4 linked regions of the Rhinolophus ferrumequinum genome follow. The protein of the gene in region 2 interacts with the protein of the main gene of each other region in a pairwise test. Links are inferred from orthologs where the notes say so. Each region holds a gene or a part of one and is shown on either strand. Other genes may lie near its edges.

What was found.
Region 1: the proteins of TNS2 (region 2) and SHFL interact in binary tests that used the Homo sapiens proteins (3 or more experiments, as listed by UniProt). The link is inferred for Rhinolophus ferrumequinum from reciprocal best matches to the Homo sapiens genes TNS2 and SHFL.
Region 3: the proteins of TNS2 (region 2) and keratin-associated protein 13-1-like interact in a two-hybrid assay, tested with the Homo sapiens proteins (2 studies listed by BioGRID). The two-hybrid records come from large-scale screens. The link is inferred for Rhinolophus ferrumequinum from reciprocal best matches to the Homo sapiens genes TNS2 and KRTAP13-1.
Region 4: the proteins of TNS2 (region 2) and CRKL interact in a two-hybrid assay, tested with the Homo sapiens proteins (2 studies listed by BioGRID and IntAct). The link is inferred for Rhinolophus ferrumequinum from reciprocal best matches to the Homo sapiens genes TNS2 and CRKL.

The regions. Positions count from the first base shown.
Region 1 is NC_046301.1:40,069,061-40,076,760, forward strand, and holds the start of SHFL (shiftless antiviral inhibitor of ribosomal frameshifting protein), read right to left. Parts: upstream 3,004-7,700; 5' UTR 2,699-3,003; coding exon 2,678-2,698; intron 2,227-2,677; coding exon 2,103-2,226; intron 1,920-2,102; coding exon 1,870-1,919; intron 452-1,869; coding exon 413-451; intron 243-412; coding exon 93-242; intron 1-92.
Region 2 is NC_046293.1:53,008,429-53,015,380, reverse strand, and holds the start of TNS2 (tensin-2), read right to left. Parts: upstream 3,013-6,952; 5' UTR 2,847-3,012; coding exon 2,715-2,846; intron 2,102-2,714; exon of another isoform or gene 1,792-2,101; coding exon of another isoform or gene 1,717-1,791; intron 12-1,716; coding exon 1-11. UniProt on the Homo sapiens protein: Tyrosine-protein phosphatase which regulates cell motility, proliferation and muscle-response to insulin. Phosphatase activity is mediated by binding to phosphatidylinositol-3,4,5-triphosphate (PtdIns(3,4,5)P3) via the SH2 domain.
Region 3 is NC_046285.1:96,957,946-96,962,964, forward strand, and holds keratin-associated protein 13-1-like, read left to right. Parts: upstream 1-3,904; 5' UTR 3,905-3,999; coding exon 4,000-4,515; downstream 4,516-5,019. UniProt on the Homo sapiens protein: In the hair cortex, hair keratin intermediate filaments are embedded in an interfilamentous matrix, consisting of hair keratin-associated proteins (KRTAP), which are essential for the formation of a rigid and resistant hair shaft through their extensive disulfide bond cross-linking with abundant cysteine residues of hair keratins.
Region 4 is NC_046308.1:23,324,869-23,332,602, forward strand, and holds the start of CRKL (crk-like protein), read left to right. Parts: upstream 1-4,728; 5' UTR 4,729-5,228; coding exon 5,229-5,539; intron 5,540-7,734. UniProt on the Homo sapiens protein: May mediate the transduction of intracellular signals.

The sequences.
Region 1 (7,700 bases), on a different chromosome or scaffold from region 2:
AGGCTGATGTTCTTAGGTCAGAAGGTCAGACATTGAAGATGGGGGTTGGGAGTGGAGTTCAGGACAGAGTCAAGGTTGGACTGGGTTATCACCTCCTTCCGCTGGGGTACACGGCGCCACCAGACATGGTCACAGGAGGAGCAGGCAAACTGCCGGTCCACAGCAGGGATGAGGTCTTCCTGGGCACGTTGGAACATGCGTAGGTTGGCTTCTGTCAGAGGCAGGAGGGAGGTTGCTACTGCCTGTGAAATGAGGCGGGGTGAGCACTAGAGGGTGGTCGGCCTTCCTCCACCAACACAAACAAGTCTCAGCCCTCCTCTCCTAGCAGATGCACCCCCTCCTCCACAATGACCTCACTCTCTCCCATGGATGTCCTCCCTGTTCCACCTCCCCCATTCCCACCTGGACTCACCTGGATATCCTGGTCCTGCTTCATGTCCTCTGGTGGATCCTGGGTGGAGACACCAGGGGCAGAGGCTGGGGATTCAGCTCAGGCCTCTTTTCACCTTGTTTGTTGGCGGCCGGGCTCCTGGATGGGACCCTCCCAGCCCCATATAAGAGTAGGGTGTTCCTAACTCACAAGGAGCTGATTGGCAGCGCTCTTACTGAGACCAGGTACATGACCTCTGTTACCCTTATAACAGTCCTGAGAGGTGGGCACACCTGTTATCCCCATTACTCAGATGGGGAAACTGAGGCCCAGAGCCAGGAGAGGGCTTGCCTGAGATCAGAGCAGGCCTGGACCCCATGCTCCCTTACTGCTGGTTAAATACCACACATTTGTTGGCATTGGGATGAGTTAGTTGCCTCTTTGAGGCCATGCTGCTTTAGGCTAAGTGTTCAGTCTCTGAGTTCAGATAGATGCAGGTTCGATCCCCAACTCTCCATTACTTCTAGCTGTGGCAGTGTGGCCAAGCTACTCCCCCTGGGTCCTTAATGAAGGGCATCTCAGAGCCCAGTCTCTGACTCTGAGTGGCTCGGGTTCAAATCCCAGCTGCCACCTGCATGCTGCATAATCCTGGCCAGTGACTTCATCACTGTCTGTTTCCTCATCCATAAAACCTGGTAATAAATAATAGGACCTGTCTCATGGGGTCGCTTTGGTGATGAAATGAATCAACAGGTAAAATTCCTGGAATCCTGCAGCAAGGAAAGTGCTCAATCAATGCTAAATGCTACTCTTTATTTTTTATCATACTCTTTATAGGTATAAATGTCAATGTATAAATATAAAGAGTATGATACATACTTTATTATACTCTTTAACAACTCTATACTGGTCTTTCAGGCAGGCAAAATCCACAGTGCATCCGCCACCAAAGCCATCTAAAGGGCAAAGTGGCCATGATGTATCTGTGCTTTAAAGCATTCATTCATTCATTCATTCATTCATTCATTCATTCATTCAACAGGAGCCCCCTACCCCCTCTCTCCGGTTCCCCATCTCCTGTTCATCCCAGCCTGTCTGTATGTTCCTTTGCTCACACTATTCCCTCTTCCAAGAAGACTATTTCCGACCCCTCCATTCCCAGGGATCACTCTTTTTCAGCCTTGATCAGTTGACACCACATCCTCCAGAAAGCCTTCCCTGACCTCTAGGGCTCCTATGTGATGACTTAAATCCTGGCTAGCGTCACTAACTAGTTTCATGTCTCTCTCCCCCATTTAATACCATTAGCATGGAATGAACACCTACTGTTTGCAGGCTCCCTGGCAGGACACACAGCCCTTCTGTGAATAAGTAGATGTGGTTGGACCATGAGTTGTAGACTGGCAGTGCACTGAGTGGGGCTCACCAAGGATGGGCAGGGTTCCCTGTGTTCTCCCTCCCCAGTTACCCTGTCCTTTGAGCGTAGGGGGGCAGTTTACCTGGGCATCCAGGTCATTACTCAGTTCCTGTCCATCTTTCTGCTTTACCCCTGGTGGGGAGAGTTAAGTGTAAGTGAAGGGCCCTTGAAGGATCTTGTGGGAGTTTCAGGGTCTCCGGAGCCCCAATACAGACCATCCCCAAGAGATGATCTCAACTCCTCTTCCTACCCTCCGAACAGACCGAGCTCCCCCGCGCGGAACACCCACCAGTCCCGGGAACCCTGCCCGCTCACCGTACACGATGGAGCGGCCCACTCCGGTGTGGTCGCTGTCAAATTTCCTCATCAGAGTCCCCGCCTTCCTGTTGGAGACCTTCCCATAAAACTTCTCCCGGAGGCGCCGGACGCTCTTCTCCAGCTGGGATGGGGACAGCGAGGCTCGGAAAGGGGAAGAAGAGAGATTGCCCCTCCCTATTTCTAGGCATCCTTCTCTGGGCCTGAACTTGACCCTTGGTTTTGGCCTCCGCATCCCCCACCCCCATCCCTCCATGGTATTTCCTGGAAAAGCCAAAGTCCCCACCGGGCATTGGGGGAGGGTGCGGACTGGGGCGAGCGTCCTAGGCTCGGGAGGAGGCCGGCCAGGTAACCCCTGGCCTCTGACCCTTGACCCTGCAGCCCCTGCTTTTCGCCCAGGGGGCCGCATTTCGCTCAAGAGGAGGTGGCGGTCACTCTCCTTTCTGGGGGGGGGCAGACAAGGAGGAAGGTCTGGGCTACGGATGGAGTCCCAAGGAACTGCGAAGCCCCCTCTGCGGCCCCGGCCCTTCCCGGCGTCTCTTGAGGGCCCTGGCCCAGCCGTAGCCATCTCCTACCTCCACACCTTCTTGAGACATGGTGGCAGTCACGCAGGTCCCCGCGAGGGTCCGCACTGCGCGCTCGGAGTCCCCCTACCTGGGCGCGCCCCGCGGTCCAGCCGCGCGCAGGGCAGGGGGCGGGGCTCCGGGCCGGCTCCTCCCTTCCTTCCCGGCCCCCTCTTTCGCTTTCGATTGCAGGGAAGCGCTAGCTCCACCCTGGCTCCGCCTCTGCTCTTGTGCCCCAAACCGAGGAGGGCTCCCGGGGTCCGCACTCTGCGGCTGAGCGCGCAGACCTCCGCCAGGAGAGGCGGCGCGGCCTCTGCAGTCGGTCACATGTCCCCACGCTGCGCGGGGTCCGCGTCTTCACGTCCCTCGTGGGGGCGGGGCCGCATCGGAAGGCCGCTGCGAATCTCGGGCTCCCCCTTCGAATCTGCTACCCCCGCCGCAGCTCGCGCTCCCCTAGTTCATCGCCTTCTCTCCTCACCCAGAAATCAGGCGCTAATTAAGACCTGGGCACCTTCCTGACTCTGAGCCTCTTACCCGGCCACATCCCCTCTCTGAACCTCAGTTTACTCCTCTATAAAATGGGGGTGATAAGTGACTACATTCTGGGGGTGTGTGTACGCGTGCGCGCCAGGATTCCAGACCCCGGATAGAACGCTTAGTAGCTCTTGGCATGCAAACTAGTCGGGCCAGCTACTCGGTGCCCGTCCAAAGGGACAGGCAGTGGGGGGATGGGGGTGCTTGTTAAAAATACAGGTTCCTGGTCCGGCCGTCAGCGGTTCCAGGGAATCTGTATTGTAAATCCAAAGGTTGAGAACCCCGACGTCCACGACGATTCTAACCCACCCAGCACAGGGGGCTGGAGGGGCTCTGGCCCAGCCCGGAGATTTCAGGGATGGTTTCTTGGAGAAAGGAACGGCTCGTATAGTCCTTGGAGTTTGAGGTCTTAGCTAGATGAAGCACAGAGTGGGGAGAAGGAAGCAGCTGGTGAAAAGACCCCAGAAGCAAGAGAGTCTGACGTTTCTCAGCCTCCTCACGGCTGCCATTTCGGGCTGGGGAGTTCTTTGTGGTGGGCTCCGTGCTGTGCATTGTAGGATGTTGAGCAGCTTCCCTCCCTGTCCTCCGCCCACTGGATGCCGGTGGCACCCCACACACACCAGTTGTGACAACTGAAAATGTCTCCAGACATTGCCAGATGTCCTCTGGGGGGCAAAATTGCATTAGGATAATGACTCTAAATTGTTTTCCCAATTATGCACCTCCATCAGTCAGAATGTTGAAGCTCTACCCCCAGATGGATATTTACTTATAAATTATGTAGAAATACAGTTATACCAATGGATTCTGTAGATTATTTTATAATAATATATTATTACATATTCTTTAGCAAACAAAAAATGGAGATAAAAAATAGGTGCGCTGATGTTTTCTACTTGAACCCCAAAGCTTTGTAGGTCTAGAGACTGCTCTCTTAGCGAATGTAAACAGTTCATGGTTCTTTGTGGCTGAATGGTGGAATTTCAGACAGGGATGGGGGCCCGAAGTCTGCACAGACGACCTGGGATTTTGTCCTGAGGGAAGTGGGAAGGCCTGGGGGGCTTTCCCTTTACAGCTGCCAATTACTACTTACCCAGTGGAGGGGAAGGTCACAGCTATGTCCCATCCCCTGGCCAGGGTGGACACCGAGTGGGCAGGAAACAGGTGGGAGACTGATCCAGCTATGACAAGAATCAAGACTGCTAGATTCTTATAATAATGGCCACCATATTGAATGCTTACACTGTGCCAGGCATTGAACAAAACAAAGATCCCCAGAATGTAGAGCTGCCATTATAGTGGGGGAGACAGACAAGAAACAAATATATAATAGGACAGGAAATAATAAGTGCTAGGGTGAAATATGAACTGAGATAGGGGGATAGAGAAAGGGGGATCAGGGAAAGCAGTGGGAAGTGACATCTGAGGGGAAACCTGAAGGAGGTGGGAGAAGAGTTCCAGGCAGAATGAACAGCAAGTGCAAAGGTCCTGAGGTGGGAGCATGGGAGGACTGTTAGTAGTTGTAGTATTTCTCTATTGCTGTGTAACAAATTAGCCCCAAACTTATTATTTCATATAGTTTTTGTGGGTCAGGAATCCAGGAGTGGCTTCGCTGGGGTTTTCTGGCTCAGGGTCTATCTGTTTCTGAGGTGGCTCACTTACATGGCTGGCAGGTGGGTGTTGGCTATTTGTGAAATGCCTCAGCTCCTCCTTAGTGGAGATGTACTCCCAGCTTGGCAGCTGGCCTCCCCAGAGCAAGTGATCCAAGAGAAGGAAAGCCGGGTGGAAGTTGTATCATTTTGTGACCCAGCTTTGGAAGTCACATTGCATCACTTCTGCTGCTACCTCCTGCATGTCACTAGATCCAGCCCAGGTCAGGGACGGGGAATGAAGACTCCACCCTCTCTCTCCTCCCACTCTCCCATCTCCCGCTGGAGTCTCTCATTGGCTGCAACAGAAGGCAAGGAGGGCAAGGGAGCAGGTCTTGTTATCAGCCTCTCAGGGAATAGAGCTGGGGAGAGAAGGGTGAGAATTAATAGGGGAGGACAAACAGAAGATCAAACCGGAGTATTGAATGTTGGCATTGTACATGAACAGAAAAATAAACATTCCCAGCGATCACATGGGGCTGCTCCCTATCCACCAGCAGTTCTGTTTGAGATTTGCAGCCATCTTAGCCTGGCCAGATGTAACTTGTTTGTGCAGTGGTGTGAGCATTCCTGCATTTTATCCTTTGTCTTTATAAAAAGGTGTGGAAAGGGAGACAATGGATGTACTGATAACAGTGATAAGAAATGTAGCCTCTGACACTTTAGTATAATTGAGTCAAAGATGGAGCCCATTTGATCCATCCATTCATTAATTTGACAAACATGCATCAGGTGCCTTTTTGGCAGCAAGCATAGTGCTGGGGACCATTTCTGCCCTTCCAGAGTAATGGTTTTAATGGGAATTTTAAACTACGTATCTCATTTGATCCTCATAGCAACCTATGAAGCAGGTAGTAGTATTATAAATGGGAAAACAGTTTTTTTTCCTGACTGCAAGAATCTCCTCAAGGGGTGAGTTACTTAGGAGTTACTTAGGTGAAGAGATGCAGAGCAGAGGGAGCAGCATGTGCAAAGGCCCTGAGATAGGAAGGCGCTTGGTCCATTGAGAAAGCTAAAGGTCAGTGTGGCTGGGCTTAGTGAGAAGCAGGGAAAGTGGAAGGGGGTGAAGCTTGTGCCAAAAGCAGCAAATATATATATTTTTAATTAAACTTTATTGGGGTGACAATGGTTAGTAAAGTCACATAGGTTTCAGGTGTACAATTCTGTAATACATCATCTATATATCACATTGTGTGTTCACCACCCAGAAAAAAAAAGCAGCAAATCTTGGCTTTCAGCTGGACCCTTTGAAGCTTAAGCTGGTGACCATATGTTTAATTGTGGAGGAAGTGGACACAATTGGAGCATGTGTGTGCTTTGTGCAATCGAGTAAATTTTTCCCTCAGTTTAACCAAATGAAGAACGTTGGCAATGCCCAGAATTGGAGGTGTGGGGAAATGGGAACTCTCCAAACTGTTGGAGAGGGTGTCCCTTGGTAGAATCTTTGGAGAGGGCAATTTGGCAAAACCTTCTAAAGCATTAACAATGCTGAATTAACCATTTCTTTCATTTTGTGTATTCTGACGCTTTGACATCTGGGGCCTCGTGACCCTGGGGGCACTACTCCTCCCTGGGCACACACAAACCATTTGTGGGCATTTCTGCATGTGCATTTCCACACCACCTTTACTTCCCACATTGCTTATTTCTCTAACAATTGCATTTTTTTGGCATTGCTTTTGTAATCAGAACCAAAATATACACAGTAAAACAAATTCAATTACTTTACAAAATAATATGTATGAAACTCTGGAAATATATCTTTGACAATGACACCTAACTGGAGAGACATAATTTGGGATTTCATAATTTGTATAGTCTTCAGTGAATAGAATGTCCTTTACAACACAGAAATCTGTTGTTAGAGTTTTGCGAAATCAGTTTCAAACACATTTCCAGTAATGCATTACGTGCAAAAGTTGGGGTCCTGCTCAAATGAATTCGGTGAGTGGAGAAATCTCAGTGGCTGAAATACTCTGAGTGTGTCCAAGGCTCGCTGGGTGCCAGGCTTTCTGTGGTATGTCCTCTGGGCTTGAGGCTACAAGTCATCCCTCAGCCTTTTGGCTTAGATAACACTGTCCCGTTCTCAGATGAAGAATCTGAGTTTCAGAGAGATTAAGCAGATCATGCAGGACACCCAGCTAATAAGTGGCATAGCATAGCCTGAGCTTGAACCTAGGCCAGCTGTCCACAATGCTCCTTCAAGCCAGAACTGAGGACAAGAAGTACAGAGGTCAAGGGATGCATTTTGGAGCCAGACAGTCTGGGTTTGAGTCAGTTGCTAGCTCTTTGAGCAATTTCTTGACCTTTCTGGGCCTCAGTTTCACCATCTCTGAAATGGGAATAGAATTGTTGTGGGAGTTCCATGAGTTAATATAGATAAACCATTTAGACCTGCACTGTCTGACAGGGTAGTCACTGGCCACATATGGCATTTGAGCCCTTGAAACATCGCAGGTCCTAATCCAGATGTGCTGCCAGTGTCAGATGCACACTGGATTTGGAAGACTTATGTAAAACAACACATCAATGACTTTTTATATTCATTACATGTTGAAGTGATAATAGTTTGGATATATTGGGCTAAATAAAATTATTATAATTAATCTCACCGCTTTTGTTTTGTTTTTACCTTTTTAAGATTTAAAATTACATATGTGGCTTGCATTATATTTTTATGGGATTTTGCTGACTTAGAGGATACCAAGGAAATAGTCCAAAAAACACGTAGCTATTTTTATTACCACACCACCTTGGTTTCTGTTGCTTTTCCAAAGGCGTGGCCTGTGAGAACCAGTCCTCTGCTCCAGCCCTGGACTTGGTGGCCCTGTCTCTGCTCCTGGCAGCAGAAA
Region 2 (6,952 bases):
GCTTTCCTAGGCTAGGTAGGGGTGGAGGGGCAGAGACTCAGACAGGGGTATCTGTTCCCAGCAGACCCATCTGGAGACTGGGCCAGTGCCTTAGCACCGCACTGGTTCCTTTCTTCCTCCATCCTGATTAAAGTCCCCAAATGATTAATGTCCCCAAACCCGTGGGACACTTGGCCACTGCTGTTTCCGGCCAGTTGTGGGGGCTGTCCTCAACAGTGCATGGAATCTGGCCTCTTGCGTCACCCTCACTGGGTCAGCTCCTCCCCAAGGGATCAGTTAGGCCCCTCACGTGGCTCTGGTGTGTGATACCCTTGTGGTCACTGCCACCCCAAACACAAGAACTTTCCTCTTGGTGGGGGGGCACTCTCTGATTCTCCTCTATGAGGGCCCCCGTTTCTCCTTCAATTTTGCCCTCCCCGATGGAGGCCCTTGTGCAGAGTGAACAGCAGGGGGTCCAGACAAGAATGTAGGCTGTCAGTCACAGCACCCAGACTGACTGATGGGAGTGGCCTCCGTCAGTCCTGATCCCCTGGCTCCTGCTGTCCTGCTCTAGGCAGCTGACATGCCTTCCTCACCCCCACCCCCACCCCCAAGAACAACATGTTTACTCATTGTGCACTGAGGCGGCAGGCAGCAGTTGTGTAAGGAGGTGGGTGGTAATGCTGGAGGGAGAGGCAGACAGAGGCATGACATTGGAGAAAATATTTAGCTGTCTTGCTACTTCTGGATGTAGTGAGCACCCTGTCATTTGAGGACATTCAAGTGAGGATTCCAGCATTGAATGGAGTAGCGGGGTGGACCAGATGCTGGGCTGGGCCCCTCCCCACCCAGAGGTGCAGTGAGGCAGGAGGCTGGGATGCCCCCTGAAGGCCCAGGCCTACCTCACACGCAGTCCCACGCCTCCCACTGTGATTCACTCCTTCCATCCTGTCTGGGGACCATTTTTGCTTCCTTGCCTCCTCTCTTCTACCCATTTTTCTCCACCTCTGAAGTTCAAGTTCCTGCCCCATCCCCCTTTTATAGTAGTGTCTCATGTTGCCCTGAGCTGCTGCTTTTGGGGTAAGCCTGAGCAAGTAAAGAAAGGGAGTGATGGGGTCTCCAGGCCCCCCCCCCCCCCCCAGGCCTGGGGACCCAGGCCCCACCTCTTGTCTCTTGGCAGTGTCCCTGACGCAGCTAGATTAAGCCAGCAACTGAACTCTCTTGTGCTGGACCAACTGTGCTGGACCCACTAGGAAACTTGGGTACATCTAGCATAAATGGCATATACAGATGATGTCAGTGAAAGCAACCCTCCAGTGTCTAAGGCACTCCTGAGACCTGGCCACGTCCCTCCCTTCCTTCACCACCCCCAGCCCCCCATTTTCCCCAAACATCTTGGCTCAGGGAAGATGCCTGATCTCTTAGCCCTGCTCTGGGGTTCCCAGGATGGTACCCAGAAAGGTCCTACAATGAAATGTACCTGGACATAGGTGTAGGGGATCAGGACCCCCAGAGTTGGTATGGGCTAGGGCAGGGAGGTGATAGAAGAGCCAAAACAGACCCCAGGTTCTGCTCAAACCCAAACTTCTATGGTGCATACCACAGCCCTGGCCACCCCAAAGAGGCAGAGTAATGAGCAAAGGGAGAAGGCTGAGGTGGAGGGTCTGGCCTGTGTCCTGGCCCCCTTCCCCACCTCCACCCCTGCCCCGCCTCTGCCCAGCTGGTGGGCACTCCTACCCTGCTGGTGGCCCGGCTGCTGTCCCTCCTCCCCAGGGCTCTGAGCAGCCTCTCCACGGGGCCGCTGGACTTCATGGTGTCCGGCTGGCTGGGGTGCCGGCCGCGGGGCCCGAACAATGCTGGGGCCTGGCCCGGGGCTTCCTGGAAGCGGCCTGGCGGAGGCAGCCGCTTCCCCTGGGTGGAGGGTAGGCTGTCTGGCTGGTGTGAGGAGAAGCCCAGCCCTGGAAGCGGAGGGGAGTACAGGCGGGAAGGGGGCAGGTCGCTGCTCCAGGAAGTGGGGGGAGGATGTGGCGGAGGCCAGGAGATCAGATTCCCAGGATCTACCCTGCTGGGAGTGTCAGCCCAGGATCCTCTGACCCCGCAGCCCCGCTCTGGGGCTGCCCCAGGCCCCAGGAGCCACCCCATCCAGGATCTGCTGGGATCCTGAGATCCAGCCCCCGGTGGGGCGGGACAGCGTGGGGGCAGGGTGGGAACTGAGGTCTCAGGGCAGGGCTCAGGGACCAGTGGGGAACACCGTGTCCTGGCCAGGACAGCCTCCCAGTCTGAACCCGTAGGCTCTCTGGGGACTTCTAGTGGGGAGGGAGGGGAGCTGGGACTCACTACGCCAGCCAGCCCAGGACTGGGAGTGCATCCTGAGGGTCAGGGAGAATGGGACGGAGGGCCAGTGTCCTGCCTCAGTTTCACTGGTTGTGAAAGTAAGGAAAGGAAAACATGCACCTCTCCCCCCTCTCCCCATTCACACTGGAAGGCAAATTGCAGCCAGAAAACTGCTTTGCCCACAGGAGTGATCCATTCTCCTGCCACAGCCCAAGGCATTTGAGGCCCTTCTCCTGAGAGCCTGCAGCTGCTCTGCTCCTGACACATTCCCCTCCTCACTCATTCCCTGGGCTTGTTTCTGCTTGACCTCTTAGACCCCTAGCCCCTCTTTGGAGCCGGCCACTTAGGCCCTCCACCTCAGGCCCTAGGGCCGCCCTCCTCCCCCAAAGCCTGAGTACTACCTTCATGGCTCTCCTGTCTCTGCTCTCCTTCCTCAGCAGCTGTCCCAGGACCTGAGGACTGGACAGGAGGCCCCCCTCCCAACACATACTCCACCCCCCTCTATGGGCCTCCTGCCTCCCTCCTGGGAACATGGCCAACTTCCTGTCCGGGAGTCAAGGGAAGGAGGAGGTGGATTGGGGCCTTGGAAAGGGGGGTAGGAATCTTCCGAAAATTTAAGGGGTTAATGGCCTGGGGGTCCTCAGCCCCAAGCCTTGGACAGCAGCCCCTTGGACCAGCAAGAGCTGTCACTTGAAACAATGTGCAAATATTCCTCTTTCATTTGCATGGTATTTACTGAATGTCCCAGAGCTCAGGCAACTCCCCCAGCTCTGGCATCTCCCACCAGGTCCTTAGACTTCCCTCTCCCTCCCTCGTGCCCTGCCTTCTCTGGGATGAGCCATCTTATGGGAGCTCACTGAGGACACTTCCCTGGATCTGCCTGGGCTTCTCCCTTGATGGTCTAATTCTCCTAGCAGGTCAGGAAGTCTGTCCCCAGGGTACCTTGGCCAGAGGGAGGCATCTGTGTGAAAAAGCTTGGGCCCCTGGCCTGTAACTGGAGAGGGGCACTGGCTCTGCAACCCACTCCCAACCCACCAGCTCTGGCTGGGTCCCAGGACATTCCAGGCCCCTGGCCAGTGTGGGCAACTGGGCCTGGTGTCCAGTCCCCAGCCCTGCTGGGGGAGGAGGGGCACTGTGGTAGGTTGGGTGGCCTTTCTCTGTTCCTATTGCACATACCCTGACCTGGACCCCTCCAGATGCTTCTTTCTACTCCTGCTGCCTCCAGAGGGGCTGAAAGTCCCCTCACCTAGCAGTCACCCTCATCCTCTGACCCTCACTCTTCTGGGAGGCTCACTAACCCGGGTGTTGGGAGGCCAGGGAAGCATGGCTTTGAGACCCTCCCCACCCTTGGTACACCTCTGAGGGAAGATGGAGACAAGAGTGCTGATCCCTCAGCGGTGCTGGGAGGAAAACGAGCTCACTGCGGCAGGGCTGGGAAGGCATGGCCAGACCCCCAAGGACCCTCGCCCTTCTCCTGCCTGGAACATTCCAGAGCCTGTCAGCCTCTCCCCCAGGCTGGCCCCCTCACACTCCGAAGCCTTAGGTTTGTTTGGAGAAACCCCTCCACCCACACTCCCCCTTCCTGGAAATAGCTGTGGTTGGATGAGAGGCTGGGAGCCCGGCCGCCACGGAGGAGGGGTGAGGCCCAGCGAAGGAGAGAGGGAGGAAGGCGGGGTACATGGGTGTGCCCAGAGGGAGCTGGAGAATTGAGAGTAGCAGCATAAGGGGGCTGACGAGTGGGCTGGAAAGTCAAATCAGCCTCATCTGTTCCCGCTTTCTGCCTCAGTTTCCCCAGATGTGAAGTAGAAAAGGAAAATACGCAGACGCACTCCCAGGCCAGTGCCCGCGCGCGGCCGCCAGTTCCCGCCTGGCTACAGGGCCCGCATGTGGAAGAACGTGCCCCACTGTACTCGAAGAGCGGCGTCCGGTGCGGGGCGCGCGCGGGTGCGTGGCGGGAAGGAGCAGCACCGTGCCTAGGCGGCGTGTGCGCACCAGGGCGGGCGAAGGCGTGACGGCCCCAACTAGAGTGTGACCGCGGCCTGCGCCCCGCCCCCTGGGCACCTTCCCGGCAGCCAGCCGTCTCAGTTCGCCGCGGCCCGCCAGATCTCCGATCACCGACCCCAGCCCGGCGCCCGCCCGCTTCCCCTGGAGCCCCGGCGGCCCCGCGCCCCCTGGCGACCGCCCCCGGCACTGCTCCCCGGCCGTGACGCACGAGCCGCCGCCCTCCCGCTCCGCGCGGCGCGGCCACTCACCTGCGGGGGGCGCCCGGCGGGGCGGGGGCGCGGCGGGGCGGGGCAGCAGCAGGGGGAGCCCCCGAGCCAGCCCATCCTAGCCGGGCCCGCGCCGAGCGGCCGCGCGGGAGGCGCTGGAGGCGGGAGCGGGCGCCGCGCTCCTGGGCTCCCTCCCGCCCCGCCGCTCCCGCGCCGCACTCTCCTCCCTCCGGCGCTGTTCCCCTCCCTCCTGCCCCGCTCCAATCCCCACCTTCCGCCCGCTCCCGCCCCCCGCCCTCCTCCTCTCTCTTTTCTCTCCCCACCTTCTTCTGCGAACCCCGCTCATAAAGAGCTGAGAGGAAGAAGGAGCGCTGAGACGCCGAGACTCGGAGACGGAAAGAGACAGATGGGGAGAGATTTTGAGCAAGGTGGACACCAAGGACACAGGGACAGGAAAATCTCAGAGATGGGGAGTGACCCAGCGGGATACAGGCCAAAAGAGCCACACGAGCCAGACAGACTCAGAAGAAAAGGTGGACATAGGTCCAGAAGGCACTGGAAACAGAGTACAGAGAACTGCCTTGGCTTCTCTCAGCCGGGCCCCTCCACAGGAGTGTATTTGAGATTGGGCCCTGTGGGGCTAGTGCCACCTACCCATGGGGGCACTAGCTTCAGATGAAGATACTTGGTGTCACTTGTGGGTTCCAAGTCTCTGGACACTTTCCCTGGTCCTCTGCCTCATGGGAGGCTTCTCAGGTGTCACCTATTCTCCCCAAAGGACTCATACTTGAGGACCCCCCCACTCATCACCACCACCAAGCGGGTCGTCAGCCCATCCATCGCCCTGCTTTGGAGCTGGACAGTCACTCCCACTCCCTAGGAGATTTCCGTTAAAAAGTCTTCCTCACAACTCTAGTCCCAGGCTTTCCAACGAACGTGGAAGTTCATTCTGTGGTCTAAACTTATTCCCATCTTTTGCAGTGTCTGGACTTAGCACGGGAATAGAAACTTCCTGGAATTCAGCTAATGGGCCATGGGTCTGGTTTGAGTTTGTGCCACCCTGGAGGGGAAGGTAGAGGGAATGGATGTCTTTCTAGAAGTTCTGAATCTTTTCCCAATCCCAGCTTCCCCAGTGTTCTTTATCAGTGAGCACTTCCTGAAACTTTCTCCCTCCCTTCCCCTCCCCACTAGATTTTCCATGATGAAAACCGGGGGGGGGGGGGGGGGGGACGGGGGGGGGGGGGAGGTGTTTGTCTGAGGAGCCAGTGCCCAGGGCTCAATGCCCAATGCCTGCTCAAAGCAGCCAGTACCCTCAGCTCTTAAGGCCCTCCATCCTTTCTGTGCTCATCTTGCCTTTGGCAAAGGCTGGGAACTCTGCTTCTGATTATGAGGGGTGGATCCCCGATTTCAATAAGGCAGTAGGGAAAAGGCTATGAAACAGCGCATGGTGACAGTGTGGGTCCCCCCAGAGACTGGCATTTGGGAGGGGTAGATGTGGCTGGGACTGGGGAGCCTTGATCTTACTGCTCGTGTGAGTTGGTGTCCAGTAGGCAGCCTCAGAAAGTGCAGCAGTCACTGGAGTCTGGAGGAGGGGCGGGGAGGTTGGAGTGGAGCTGGGGAGGGAAGAGGTTGGGAGGAGAGGAAAGGCTGGAGTTAGGAGAGCAACAGGGATCAAAGGCTACTGGGGTAGGGGCAGGGCTGAAGGTCATTCTATGGATTTTGACAAGATTTGATTATACTATAATCAAGATGCAGGATATGAAAATTTGTTCATTTCTTTGGAGTGTATGCTACTTCTTTTAACACTTTGCCCTTCTCAGAGTTCATTATGTCTTTGGCTGGGCCCTGGGATACATGCTAAGGGGGTAGGTTCTAATCTCTCAAGGTACCAAAGGAGAGACTGGGGGAGACTCAGAGAAGAGGCACTTGATTGGATCCCAGGACAGTGGCAGCGTTAGAGCCTCACACAAGCTGGCGTTGTTGCCGCTAAAGAAGAACCCTTTTTGAGATTCCAAGGAATTGAGAGGGTCACAAGATGGGCAGCTGAACTTCCAGCTCAGACTTGATGCCTACTCTCAAGTGAGGACCAAGGCAGGAGGGACACTGAAGAGAAGTTGAGAGTGAAACATTATACAGGAGGTGGCTTGGGAGTGAAATAAAAATGAGTGGCACATGGAGCCAGCCAGGCATCCTGAGGACAGGCAGGTACAGAGAGGAAGGGGAAAGGGAGGGAAGCCAGGGTAATGTTAGTAAAGCTCAAAAAGAATCGTAGGAACACCCTCTGAGCCTCCATGCAGGTTTTCTTACCTTGACTATGCAGAGGGCAGCCCATTTTGGCACGAAAGGCTGAACCCCGTTTTTCACGGTCTGGGGTGATCCCATGCCTGTGACCGAATGCGCTGAGATTCTCGGGTTGGGGGACTATAGGA
Region 3 (5,019 bases), on a different chromosome or scaffold from region 2:
TACTTTCAAAATCAACATAACTTGAAGAGACCAGCAAGTCCAGATCTAGGCTCATTTCTTTTGACTTCAGTTCTGGCCCCTATAGGGCCAGACTCCCTATAGGGCATAGACTCTCTATGACTCTAGAATGCTTGCGTATTTCTTTGAAGTTTTCAAAGAGAGATTCTTATTTTTTTAATTTTCTCTAGCTTTTCTAGTCTCCTTGAGAGGACTGGTGTAACATTTTAAGCAATGTTAACTTGCTAAATTTCTGTAACTTTGAGAGATTTATTTATTTTTATAATACATAGGAGTGATTCAAATAAGTGAGTGGCTGCAGCGAAGATGATCATTTGACCGTTTACAAGTCTGCTCCTGTTGTTTCAATGGTGGTAGATGACACCACAATTCAGAAAACTCCAAAGCTGCCATCGTGGGTGTCCAGGTTTTCTAATTCTGTCTCCCATTTCCATACCACATGTACTGGTGTTATACTGTGTTTCAGTATGGCCTGAAATCACCAGGAGCTTTCGTACCTTTCTGCTTTTCTCAGTTTATTTTATCTTTCTAGATCTCATGGTATTCCTTTCCATATTTATGGTATCTTTGCTTTTCTAAGTGACACCCATCCCCAGTAGAAGCTGTCAACACCCTGCCTATGTCCCTTGGGTATTCGTCTGTACACTTCTGGGACATCTGTAAAACTCTGCCAAAGGACCTTTCACTTCACAAGAGCTCCTGTGCAGGGAATTCTCTGTGAGAACTGAGCTCCAGTTTCTACATGGTACCTAGCTTAGTGATGTACCCTGTGTTGCCAACCTTTCATTCCGTCACATTGTCCCACTTCCCAACAGAGATTTATTAGGCTCACCGGTCAAGTAAACAACTTGCATTTGAATTCGTGTTCTCAGCCATTGTTTCTGGACATTTTATAGAAAAATACATATCAGGTGCCTCATTAATATGTTCATTGAGAAATCTTCAGTGTTTCTCCACCTTATACAATTTTAATTAAAAGATCCCTAGGGAAAAATACCAAGACCATATTACAGAGAGAAATGTGCCTTAGGATTGCGTGCAGCACATTTAGGAAAAGCAGCCATGATAACTTTGTCCAGCAAATGTATTTTTAAGAATACAGAATTCAAAGCCTTCTAATCTATATCGTATAGTAATAAAAAATGTGTTTTGGCTAATAATACTATATAGTGATTGAAAAAAATTTTATATAAGAAATACTGGCTTTTGTTTATTAAGCTGCACCCTAGATGACTAGTAAAAGCAAGATGCCCAACATGTGAGTGACAAATTGATTGGTAATTGGTAATTAGTAGGTAGGTGCCAAAAGTTGTAACTTGCAACTATAGATGAGTTTCTGTTGGAAACACACCTCAAATATCAAAACTATTTTGTTTATAGTCTGGTGATGGCACTCTGCACTCTAAAAATCAGAAGCCACTGGATGTACAAACCAGAGTGATAAGTTTTAAGTCAAATATCTCAATTTTTAATTGTTGGTAAGTAACTCAGTCAAAAAAGAAGAAGAAGAAGAAGAAGAAGAAGGAGGAGGAGGAGGAAGAGGAGGAGGAGGAGGAGGAGGAGGAGGAGGAGGAGAAGAGGAAGAGGAAGAGGAAGAGGAAGAAGAAGAAGGAGAAGACCCAATGGTGGAGGTCTATGTTATATACAACAAAAAAAATATAATCTTTGAGTTTAATTCAGTCCCAGGTTGGGGAGTACAAATTCTTCTTAAATTCATACTAACTTAGTGTAGACAAAGTTTTTAGATTTAGAGGCAAAGGGAAGAGAAGATTGGATCTTACAGAAAAGGATCCTTAAACAAGGAGACAAGTAATTGAAGACAAATTCACTACATTCCCCAGTTTTGTCTAATAAATCTGTGTCCCCTGTTTAAGTCTTAAGGTTTATCATCAATATTATTTCATTTTTTTCCAGTGTTATTGAAGGATAAATGACAAATAAAAGTTGTAGATATTTAAGCTATACAATGTTATGTTTTGATATAGGTATACATTGTGAAAAGATTACCAAAATGAGACTAAACAGCATATCAATCATTTCCCATGATTACATTTGTGTGTGTGTGTGTGTGTGTGTGTGTGTGTGTGTGTGTGGTAAAAACATTTAAGATAGTCTCTTTTAGCAAATTTCAAGGATACAAAATAGTATTAATAGTATTTTTGACTGTAGTTACCATCCTGTACATTAGATCTCTAGAATTTATTTATTCTGAAATCTTGTACCCTTTGACCAATATCAAGATAATCTTAAAGAGTTGTGTTTTAAAACAGAAAAAAACAATGGGGAAGGAATAGCATCTACAGTGTTATATTAATAGGACAGTTTATCTACTTGCTGAGGCACAAAGCAAGGAGAAATGAATTCTGGTCTTGAAGAATAGAAAATAAAGGACTCATCACTACCTATTTGAATTGGGTGCATTTACTTCTTTCCTCTGTTCCTTCTAGAAGGTCTACATTAAGTGACTTTTAAAATTGCTATAGATTTTATTGAGAAAATTTTATACATTTAACATCATTTTTGTAAGTTTGTTACAGCTTTGTAAGAAACTCTTTCCATCAGCCATGAGAGTACGTTTCATTCAGTCCAGAATATAATTTAACTGGTTGCATAAACATTGAATATTTTGTGAATGAACTTAGAAAGCATTTGGTTGTGCTCTAAGAATATGGTAAATCTAACAAACGTTTTTAAAACTGAAACTATAGTTAAGCAGAAGCAAAAAATAAATAGCAATGCAAACAAGAAAAACAAAACAAAATAAACTTAAACCCAGAAAAAACAGAAAAGAAAATTGGTGGGTAAGGAGAGAGAGAGGTGGAGAGGAGAGAGGGAGAGAGGGAAAGAGGGAGAGAAAGATATGTCTGTATACAGCAGAAGAAAAGAGAACTAGAAAAGGAACTTCAGATTTAGGCAAGAAAATGCAGAGCGGTACCTGGCTCTCTGCAGGAGCCAGAAAGTCACTCAAAGCCTGTGCAGTGGAAAGCTAGATACATTATAAGGTGATAGAAGCCTTGGATAGTTATATATGTAGATGATGAAAAGGAAAACATATCAAAATGCATAAAATATACTAATTTTGTAAAGTTTTAGTTATAAAAGTATTGGGATAAAATGGACCACAATTTAGGAGTGCAGTAAAAAAATCTGCAATTGCTGAGCCTTCTCGGTGTTCCCCTTTCAGTTGTTTCCTCCCCTCATCAAGCTAGTGTGTCCCTCTTGGCTGTCTGGGAAGAGGCCCAGACTGATCTTCCCTGGGGCTGTTGCAGTGGAGCTCTTTTTTGTCACCTCATCTTTAAATACATGACAAAGTGTCTTTCAGTTTCTCGCCATCTGTCTGTTTTATCTAGTTTTGGTCTCTTTTCATTGGGTGAGGGGCACACTGTGTAGCTGCAGTACTTGGTGTATTAGTTTTCTATTGCTGCCATGACAAATTACACCAAGTCATTTAGGAGAATGGGAATCAATGGTGACAAGATGGATCATTTTCAGGAAGACTCCCATTCTGATGGAAATGGATTCATTGCACCAGAACATAATTGATGTTACCTCATTCCCCACTCTTAGGAGGAAAGCATCCTCCAGCAAAACTAGATGTGGCTACATAGGAAGCACATGGAGGTAGCATAAGCCAGAGGAAAAGCTTTCTTGGCCCTGATGCTTTCCTGGTCGTGATGGGATATGCATTAGTATAAAACAGTCATAGCATTTTTGACAGAGGAGCAGTTCATTGGCTTTGGCTGTAAAAACAAAATTATAGCACCCATAAATACAATATGTGGAAAACTATTCAAATGTAACCGCAATTACAGAGACAATTACTGAGTTAGTCTTATGCAAAAGAGCAAATCCAATATAGAAACCGTGATCTCATAGTGGACCACACCCATTGTTGAGGGTATATAAATGCCATAGCCCAGAAGTGACATTCAAACTCAGAATCGTCTCCTGTAACTCAGCTGAATTCACATCTCCATCAACATGTCCTACAACTGCTGCTCTGGGAACTTCTCCTCCCGCTCCCTTGGAGGCTACCTGCGTTACCCAGGCTCCTCCTGTGGCTCTTCCTACCCCAGCAACCTAGTCTACAGCACTGACCGCTGCTCCCCCAGCACATGCCAGCTGGGCTCTTCTCTCTACAGTGGCTGTCAGGAGACATACTGTGGGCCCAGCAGCTGCCAGACGTCCTGTGCGGTGTCCAGACCCTGCCAGACGTCCTGCTACCGCCCAAGGACCTCCACGCTCTGCATTCCCTGCCCACCAACTTACACAGGGTCTCTGGGCTGTGGGTCCAGCAGCAGCTGCTCCCTGGGCTATGGATCCAGGAGCCGCTACTCCCTGAGCTGTGGTTCCAGTGGCTTCAGACCCCTGGGTTATGGAGTCTGTGGCTTCCCTTCCCCGAGCTATGGGTCTGGATTCTACCGCCCAACCTACTTTGCCTCCAGGAGCTGCCAGTCATCGTGTTATAGACCAACCTGTGGATCCAGTTTCTACTGATCAAGTTGTAAAGGGCCCAGATTCTATTGGTTTTGAGGTCAAAGTCTCTACTCAGTACAGCGATCATTTTCATTGTCACCAGTTACCACTATTCTTTTATTCTTAAATCATCAGTATCTTGCATCACCAACTTTTGACAGACTCTGAAATTGATTGGTAACTCAAAGTTAAGCCCTACTACCTGTACTATTGATAAAATATATGTTATTGGATTTCCACTGAAGAGCAATTGAAAATGAAAATTGTCATCAAATAAATTTATGTAATCTGGCACCCAAAATATTGTTCATTCTTCTTATTATTACCGTTTTCTCTCTTTTTTGCCTGTAACTTTTGTATTCAAGGATTTGGAAGATTTAAGTAAAGATTGATATGACTTCGAAACTGGATTTGGGCACAATGCAATTTGATAGATTTGAGCAAATTTCTGTCAACATTGTATATGTTCCCCATTAGAAGTAGTCATTTCTAGGAGGTCCATATTTCACACCTCTCACTGTCAGT
Region 4 (7,734 bases), on a different chromosome or scaffold from region 2:
AAACTGTAGAAATTTTTTTCTTGTTATTTAAGTACTTACATAATATTCTTGATTTTCTTCTTGGCCTGCAAAGCCTAAAGTATTTTACTATCTGACCCTTTACAAAAAATATATATATATATATGTGGTGACTCCTGATTTCTAAAGGGATGCATAGAACTGACTTCTTTGAGATAAGTGTAAGAGGGAATCAGTGTTCTCTAGCAGAAGGATCATTCTGCTCAGAATTTTACTAATGATACTCCAGAGTACTCTGAAATCCAGGAGAAACAAGAAAATTTGCCTTTCAGCCCACAAGTAGCTAAGTGACAAGAAAGTGGACATTACATAAAAGGTAACACAGCAATTAGAAACTACATTAGAAAATGGGAAGAAGAATATGACTACACTTTAAAACACTGGAATAAAGGTCAGTGCTTTCGATAGTGGTTAACAGACCTTCTGGATATGGCAGCTAGGCCTACTTCAGAGATATTACCCTATGAACAAAATGATTATTTTAAATTGTTTGGTATGGAAAATTATAATGGGTATATGAACATTATTTTATTAGTATTGTAGTAATAAAGTAATAGCAGGAAAAAAAGAAATCATCAATAAGCTCCTTTTCTGTTTTAGGAGATAAACTTAGAAATACATGTAAAACATGGGGGAATAGGGACTGAAAAGAACTGATGAATGAGAGAAAAAATTTATTACTTAAGAGGGGAAAAGTTCAAAGAATCAGGTTAATAAATGCAGTAGAAATTGAACAGGTCAGTGAATTCTTATGGAGAGAGCATCTGAGAATGTCTGGCCTTATCAAGTCAGTGAAATAAATACTTCACATACTTCCCCATCGACACGGTCATGCCCCTTTTACCCTCAGCATCATTGCTAGAAAAGAATCTAGGGCAGGAGGAAGGGACAGACACTTGTTCCTCTCGTGTCCTCAGTAAGGCAGCAATGTAGGAAGACTGCCTGGCTTACCCATCAGCCAAAAGGTTGGACCTGACCAGAGAGGGGAGAACAAAAAGTCGGTAGTGGGTCTCAAGGTCGTGTCCTCTGTACAGAGGCAGCCGCAGGGCTAGGAAATAAGGAATCCAGACAAGTTGCTCTAAAATCCTTGTCAGTCCTTTGAATCTAGATTGTAAACTTCTCAGAAGATGAGTGTTAAGTGTAATACCACGTGGAAACCCTGGGAATGAGCAAGCTAAGGCAGAATCACAAATCTTTATATTACAGCCCTTTTTTAAAATGCTTCTTTGTTGCTTATCCATTAATTTCCATTTTATCTCTTAGCATCTAGGAACACTTTTTGGAACTATTTTTAAGCTTCTCTCAGCTGTGCTGAGGAAACATAAAGGAAAGTACTAAAAAAAATTTCTATTGTAAAAATTTCCAAACATATACAAAAGTAGAACAATATAATCCCCCCTACACACACATCATGTCACTCAGTTTCAACAATTATCAACACAAGGCCATTTTTGTTTCACTTTTATCCAGTCCACACCCTATTTCCCACTGGACTATTTTGAAGCTAAAGGAGAGGTATTTTGATCAATTTTTAAGAGGAATTTTTAAAGAGGGGAGCGTGGCATTTTGGCAGCAGAATGGTGGTGCTATCTAAAATCCAAGCTGGGGGACAAATCCAACCCCTATTTCAAGACTGATATTCCTTTCTGGTGCTAGAATCTATTTCGGAGGGCCTCAGTTTCGCTATCAGCAAAACACAGAATATGGACTAAATTATAGGCAGTTGGGTAACAGTGAAATGAGACCTTGACTTCAAGTCAAAAGATCTGGCTTAAGAGTCCATTCAGCTCTGCCTTTTGCAAATTATATAACTTATAAATTATGTAAGTAACACTTAACCTCTCTGAATTTCTATCTACAAAAGGGTACTTCATGGGACTTTGGTTGAATTAAGTAAAACAATGTATTATTTGAAGTTTTGTGAATTAAAATGCGCTATATAAATTCGGTTTTATTGAGTTCTTCAGTTAAGTAAAAGATGACTCAGATTTGAATCTACAAATTAGGAAAACAGTGATGCTATTGACAGAAAAGGAGAAGCTGAAAGGCAAAGTTTAATCCAAATGGAAGACTAAACAGAGAGGGAGACATGGGGCTAAACCTTTGATCCAAATATCTATTTAAAATACATTCATTATGTTAATAATAGGAAATAATTGCACAGTCTCCTTACCCTCAGCAAAATAAATGTTCAGTTTTCTCTAGCTTCTCCCTGTCTTTATCCACCTACATAAAAAAACCATTTATTAAGTATGTATTATGTGCTGGGCATTGTGCTAGGCAGTGGGAATACAAAAAAATAACACCACTGTCTGCCTCCAAGATGCTCAGATTAGGAGACACACTTATTATATAAACAATTATAGTAGAATCGGATAAGAATTAATTTGGGCGGTGACTACTGTTTGCACAGTAATCATAGGGTGTGGTCAGTTTTTGTTCTATTTTTAGAATATACCTGTTTCAGAGTCACCGACAGAGAGGTGACTCCTAAAGCCTTCATCATGGTCTACGAAAAGAGAAGCTGTAGAAAGGTTAAGGACTGAGCTTCTCCACAGAGGCTGGAGACAAAAGTGCCACAGGAAGAGGCTGAGAAAGTATATTTGGAGAGGTGGAAGAAATTGTTAGTGTACTAGGAGCTGGGGGCAGGGAGAAAAGTCTTTTCAAAAAGAGATTTTTAGGGCTGGCCCGGTGGCTCAGATGGGCCTAACTCCATCTCCTAACTCCAAAGGCTGCCGGTTCTTCGATTCCCACATGGGCCAGTGGGCTCTCAACCACAAGGTTGCCAGTTCAATGGTGGGCTCCGCCCCCTGCAACTAGCAACGGCAACTGGACCTGGAGCTGAGCTGCGCCCTTCACAACTAAGACTGAAAGGACAACTTGACTTGGAAAAAAAGTCCTGGAAGTACACACTGTTCCCCAATAAAGTCCTGTTCCCTTTCCCCAAAAAAATCTTTTAAAAAAGAAAAAAGAGATTTTTAGTATAAACACTTAAAGCTAGGTAGATCAATGGATTCAATGGAGATCACTAATGATCTCCAAAGACCAGTTTCAGGCAAAGTAAGGGTAGAAGCCAAACGAAGAAGGCTGAGCAAGGAGTGCTCAGTGAAGTGGGAAAATCTGGCAGTGAAAATCAGCTAGAAAATCAAATGGAGATTTTTCTCTCCACCCTCACACACCCATTTTAAGATCTGCACTTTTTTTAAGGCTATGGGTAGAAGGCCAGGGAGAGACTGAATAAAAATAATGAAAGATTCTTATATGATACTTAATATGTGCCATGCACTATTCTTAGTACTTTACATGTATTAGCCTGTTTAATAATACATGAGGCAAGGATGGAATGATTAAGTAACTGGCCAGAGGTCACTCAGCTAGTCAATTGACTGAGTCAAGATTTGAACCTCAACAGTTAGCTTCAAATTCTGTGCTATTCAAGTTGTACCTGAGGTTGCCTTTTACTTAACAGAAGAACTCAATAATACCTAATTTAGATAGTGCATATCAATTCATGAAACTTCAAATAATACATGAAAGTGTGTGGGCAATTGATGAAAACGTGCTTCTGCTGAGTCACAAAAGGCACCAGCCCATGACCCTTGAGTTTACCCTAGGATGGGCATCACCTATCACCCTATACATTCTAGGACATGTTCAACCTGAAGGAAGGGGATGTGCAAACAGCCAAAATGAAATTGCATTGAAAGAGGGATCTAAGCATGGGTTTGTACTGCGTGCATCTCCCTTTCTGGACATGCTTTCTTTTCTGTTCAATTCAGGGAGTGGTGCTACCAATAATCGGGCACCAGGAACTTCGAGGTTTTTTAATATTCACTCAACAAATATTTGAAAGCATCAACTTAGGGCCCGACATTGTGCTAGGCCCAGAGGTGAACAATTCAGACAAGATCCTCTCTCAATATTTACAATCTAGTTGGAGGGTGGGGAGAACAAAGACTAGGAGGCCAAGGCAGGAGAGGGGTGAACAAGGGGGAAGATTAACTCGGAGAAGCCAGTAGAATCCCTGGCAGGCGAGGCCTTGAGGCCACGCCCAAGAGGCTTTTGTATTTAACTTGCATCAATTCAGCGCCAGTGACCGCCAGATTACCCTAAACACTTTCTAGACCATTTAATCCTGTCAATCCAACCTTTACACCTCCCACTTGTGCCTGTCGGGTCACCGGGTCACTCTGGGTCCCTAGGCCTACAAGGCCTCCTCGGGCCAGGGTCACCTACTCCCCCTATCTAGTGTCGCCTCAGCCCCCACGATCATCTTCTTGAGCCACCTCGGCCAATCCGGGTTTATACTCCCGTCGGTCTCTCTTAGCGCGGGTCTCCTCCGCCGGCCAGGTCACCTCAGTGACACGCTACCAGGGCCGGAGGTTCGGCCAGCGCGTTACGCTTTGTTCCCAGAACAGGTTTTCGAAATGCCTCTCCCTCTCGGCTCCAGCTGTTTTCCTGCCAGTGCGGGGAGACCCGGCAGAGGCAGCGCCCCCGGCGGCGCACAGTGGCCCAGGAAGGGAGTGCCCGCCGCCGCCAACTTCCCCACCTCCTCAGCCTCCTCCCGGAACGCGGGATAGCGCGCGAGCGGCGCACGCCCCGGCCGTCTCGGCCGAGTTCCTGATTGGCTATGCCGCGCGACGTCACGGGGAGGGTCCCGGCGGCAGCTGGTAGGCGAGCCCGCGCGTGCGCAGACTGAGCGCGGTGAGCGGAGGGGGAGGTGGCCGGCGGCTTATCTCGCGTCCGCCATTTTGTTGCTGTAGCTCTTGGGAACCGGCTGGGCAAAACCGCCCTAGAGGCGCGACGCTCTTTGGACTCCGGTGTTTGGTGTGTCAGCGGGGGTTGGCGCAGATCCGTGGGAGCGCAGAGCCGACGCGTTTCAGGTCAGGAGTGACTGGAGGCACCCACGGACGCCGAGCATCCCGAGAACCCCGGGGCGGCCTCTGCTGCGGCTCGGCTTCACCCGCCCCGACCTCAGGCTCTGCCCGGCATTCCCCGAGCCGGCTCCCTCCGTGAGGCGGCCCCGGAGCAGGCGGGCGGAGGCGGAGGATGCTGCGGGCCCAGAGCCAAGAGGAAGGTGCTGGCTCGGCCCTCTAAGCGCGCCTTGAGGTGTGCCGAGAGGCCCTTCTTCGGTCCCAAAGCCGTCTGGCGGGCAAAGGCGTCCAGAGCGGGCAAGAGCAGCCGCCGCCCCAGAGCGCCTGCCCGACACCATGTCCTCCGCCAGGTTCGACTCATCAGACCGTTCCGCCTGGTACATGGGGCCGGTGTCTCGCCAGGAGGCGCAGACCCGGCTCCAGGGCCAGCGCCATGGCATGTTCCTAGTCCGCGACTCCTCCACCTGCCCGGGGGACTATGTGCTGTCGGTGTCCGAGAACTCGCGGGTCTCCCACTACATCATCAACTCGTTGCCCAACCGCCGTTTTAAGATCGGGGACCAGGAGTTTGATCACTTGCCGGCCCTACTGGAGTTCTACAAGATCCATTACCTGGACACCACCACGCTTATCGAGCCCGCGCCCAGGTACGCGAGCGCCCGCAGCCGGGCGCGCTACGCACCCCGACCCCCGAGGAAGGTCGACAGTGGCTGGGTTGGTTCGCTTGGGGTCCATCCAAGAGTGTGTGTGGGGGGGGGGCGGGGAGAGGGGTCATTGAACTCATTTCCCCCTATTCTGAACCAAATTACTTTCCAGAAGCCTTTCGGAAGGGAAGGCTAGTGCCAGGATCTGGGTCACTGTGGATGAAGGGGATGTGTCTTAAACAGATTTAACGGCGGTTGCATAGATAAAATGTACGCGTTTTGCTTTTCATCACATTCTTTATTTGGTTATCATGCTAAAGGAGGGTTTTTGTTGTTTTGGGATTTTTTTATTTAAACCTTTTTTGGATCACAGACTTCTTTGAGAATATTAATATCGCCGTGGCATTCTCCCTCCCCCCAAAAATGCACGTACACACAAGTTTGCACGCCATTCAAGGGTCTTGGACTCCCTGCAGATCTCTGAACTCCAGGTTAAGAACTCTTGGACTGCAGCCTTTGGAACGATCGACAAATGACAATGCTTTAGCGTTTAGGAACAAAAACCTTTAAATGTGAAGTAGTATCAGAACTGTATGTCGATACCTTGGTGCCAGGTTTGAAATAAGCCAGACACATTCTATTTTATCATACATCAGTTACAAAAAAATCTTAAAAGAAGGTGCATTGGCTTCAGTGAGGGCATTTTATTTATTTATTTTATTTTACAGTTTTCCCCCAAGCTGGACCGTTAATAGGCTAAAAATCCACTTGGTTTAATTTCAAGGAGGAATAAGGCTAGAATATTTGCTTACTAAGGGAAATTTTTAAAAGACACTTTAATTCTATCGTAGTTCAGTTTTAGATTTTTTTTGTATTAAGTCTAATGATTTAATACCTTTTAAAGTTAACAACCCTAAGTGACACTGAGCATCAAGCATCCCCTTTTGTAAATAAAATGCATTCTTTTATTTGATTATTTGCTTTAATTTGTCTTAGTCAGTATTTTATCAGATGTTTCTTTCATGCCAGATTTGAGCTGAAATTATGCCAAATTTGAGCTGAAGAAATTGCCTAGAATTTTAAAAATAAAAGGTATTTCACTGTCCAATTTGTTTCTTAAACATCTATTTTAAAAATACAGGAGATTTTGGGGGATGAGATGTTTCTGATTTTATGAATTTGCTGACGAGATTACTCCGAGCTTGAATCATTATAAGGTATTATAATTCATTAAGGAGCACCCTAAGTGTTGGCTTCTGTGGAGTAGAGATAGAGAAAAAAACAAAGCCATGACAGTATAATGACTATGAGATTAACTGCTGAAGTAAATGGACTTTAAAAACTGGGACAAAGTGATTATAAATCAAATACTGTGTAACAAAGACCTAGACACCAAGAATCTGGTGAAACTCCAGGTCCCCGAAGATGCTGGTAATTGGACTCACTTTGAGCACGATATAATTACAATGTAAGGGATAGAATCTTAGAATCCATGGTAGTGAGATTTTGTAATGTGTTTACGTAAATGATTTTCCTAACTTGGGAAGGTGAATCATATCATGAATTTCAGGCATTTATTAAGCCGTGCTATGGGCAAGGCATTGTGCTTTCTTGAGGTGACAGGTACTATATACTATAGCTGTTTCAAAAAGTGTAAGTAAATGGCTTGATAGGCCTCAGTCGCTTCCCACTACCCCCAACAACGACTCCAAATCTTCCATACACTGTGCCTTCGGAGATGTGATCGATGCCTGTCCTCTCCTCCCACCTTGACCGCCGCCCCGCTAGGCCGCTCGCTCATTCCCGGAACCTTTGCGCAGGCTGTTGGCTCTTCAGTGACTGCCTACCCACCCACTCCTCACTTACTGTATTGAAATCCTACCTGTTGTTCCAGGCACCTCTCAAATAATAGGACCTTTCCCTGACCCTCCCCCTCACATTCAGCTTTGATTAGTTCTCCTTCTCTGTGCCCTCCGCCCCAGGCGTGTTGCTGTAATTTAGTTTTTCATTTTCCCTGGTATCTCGGAGGGCCTTCACAATGCTGGCTGAATTAGATCCTGACTGGAATGACTTTGTTATACTGAATCTTTGCCTCTCCCCAGCCTGAAATTCACGGATTTGGTTTGATGTGTTATTAGCCTTTGTAGAAATCTAGAGGCTGGTAAAACCTTGGCCAGATGCAAAAGTCAGTGTAATGA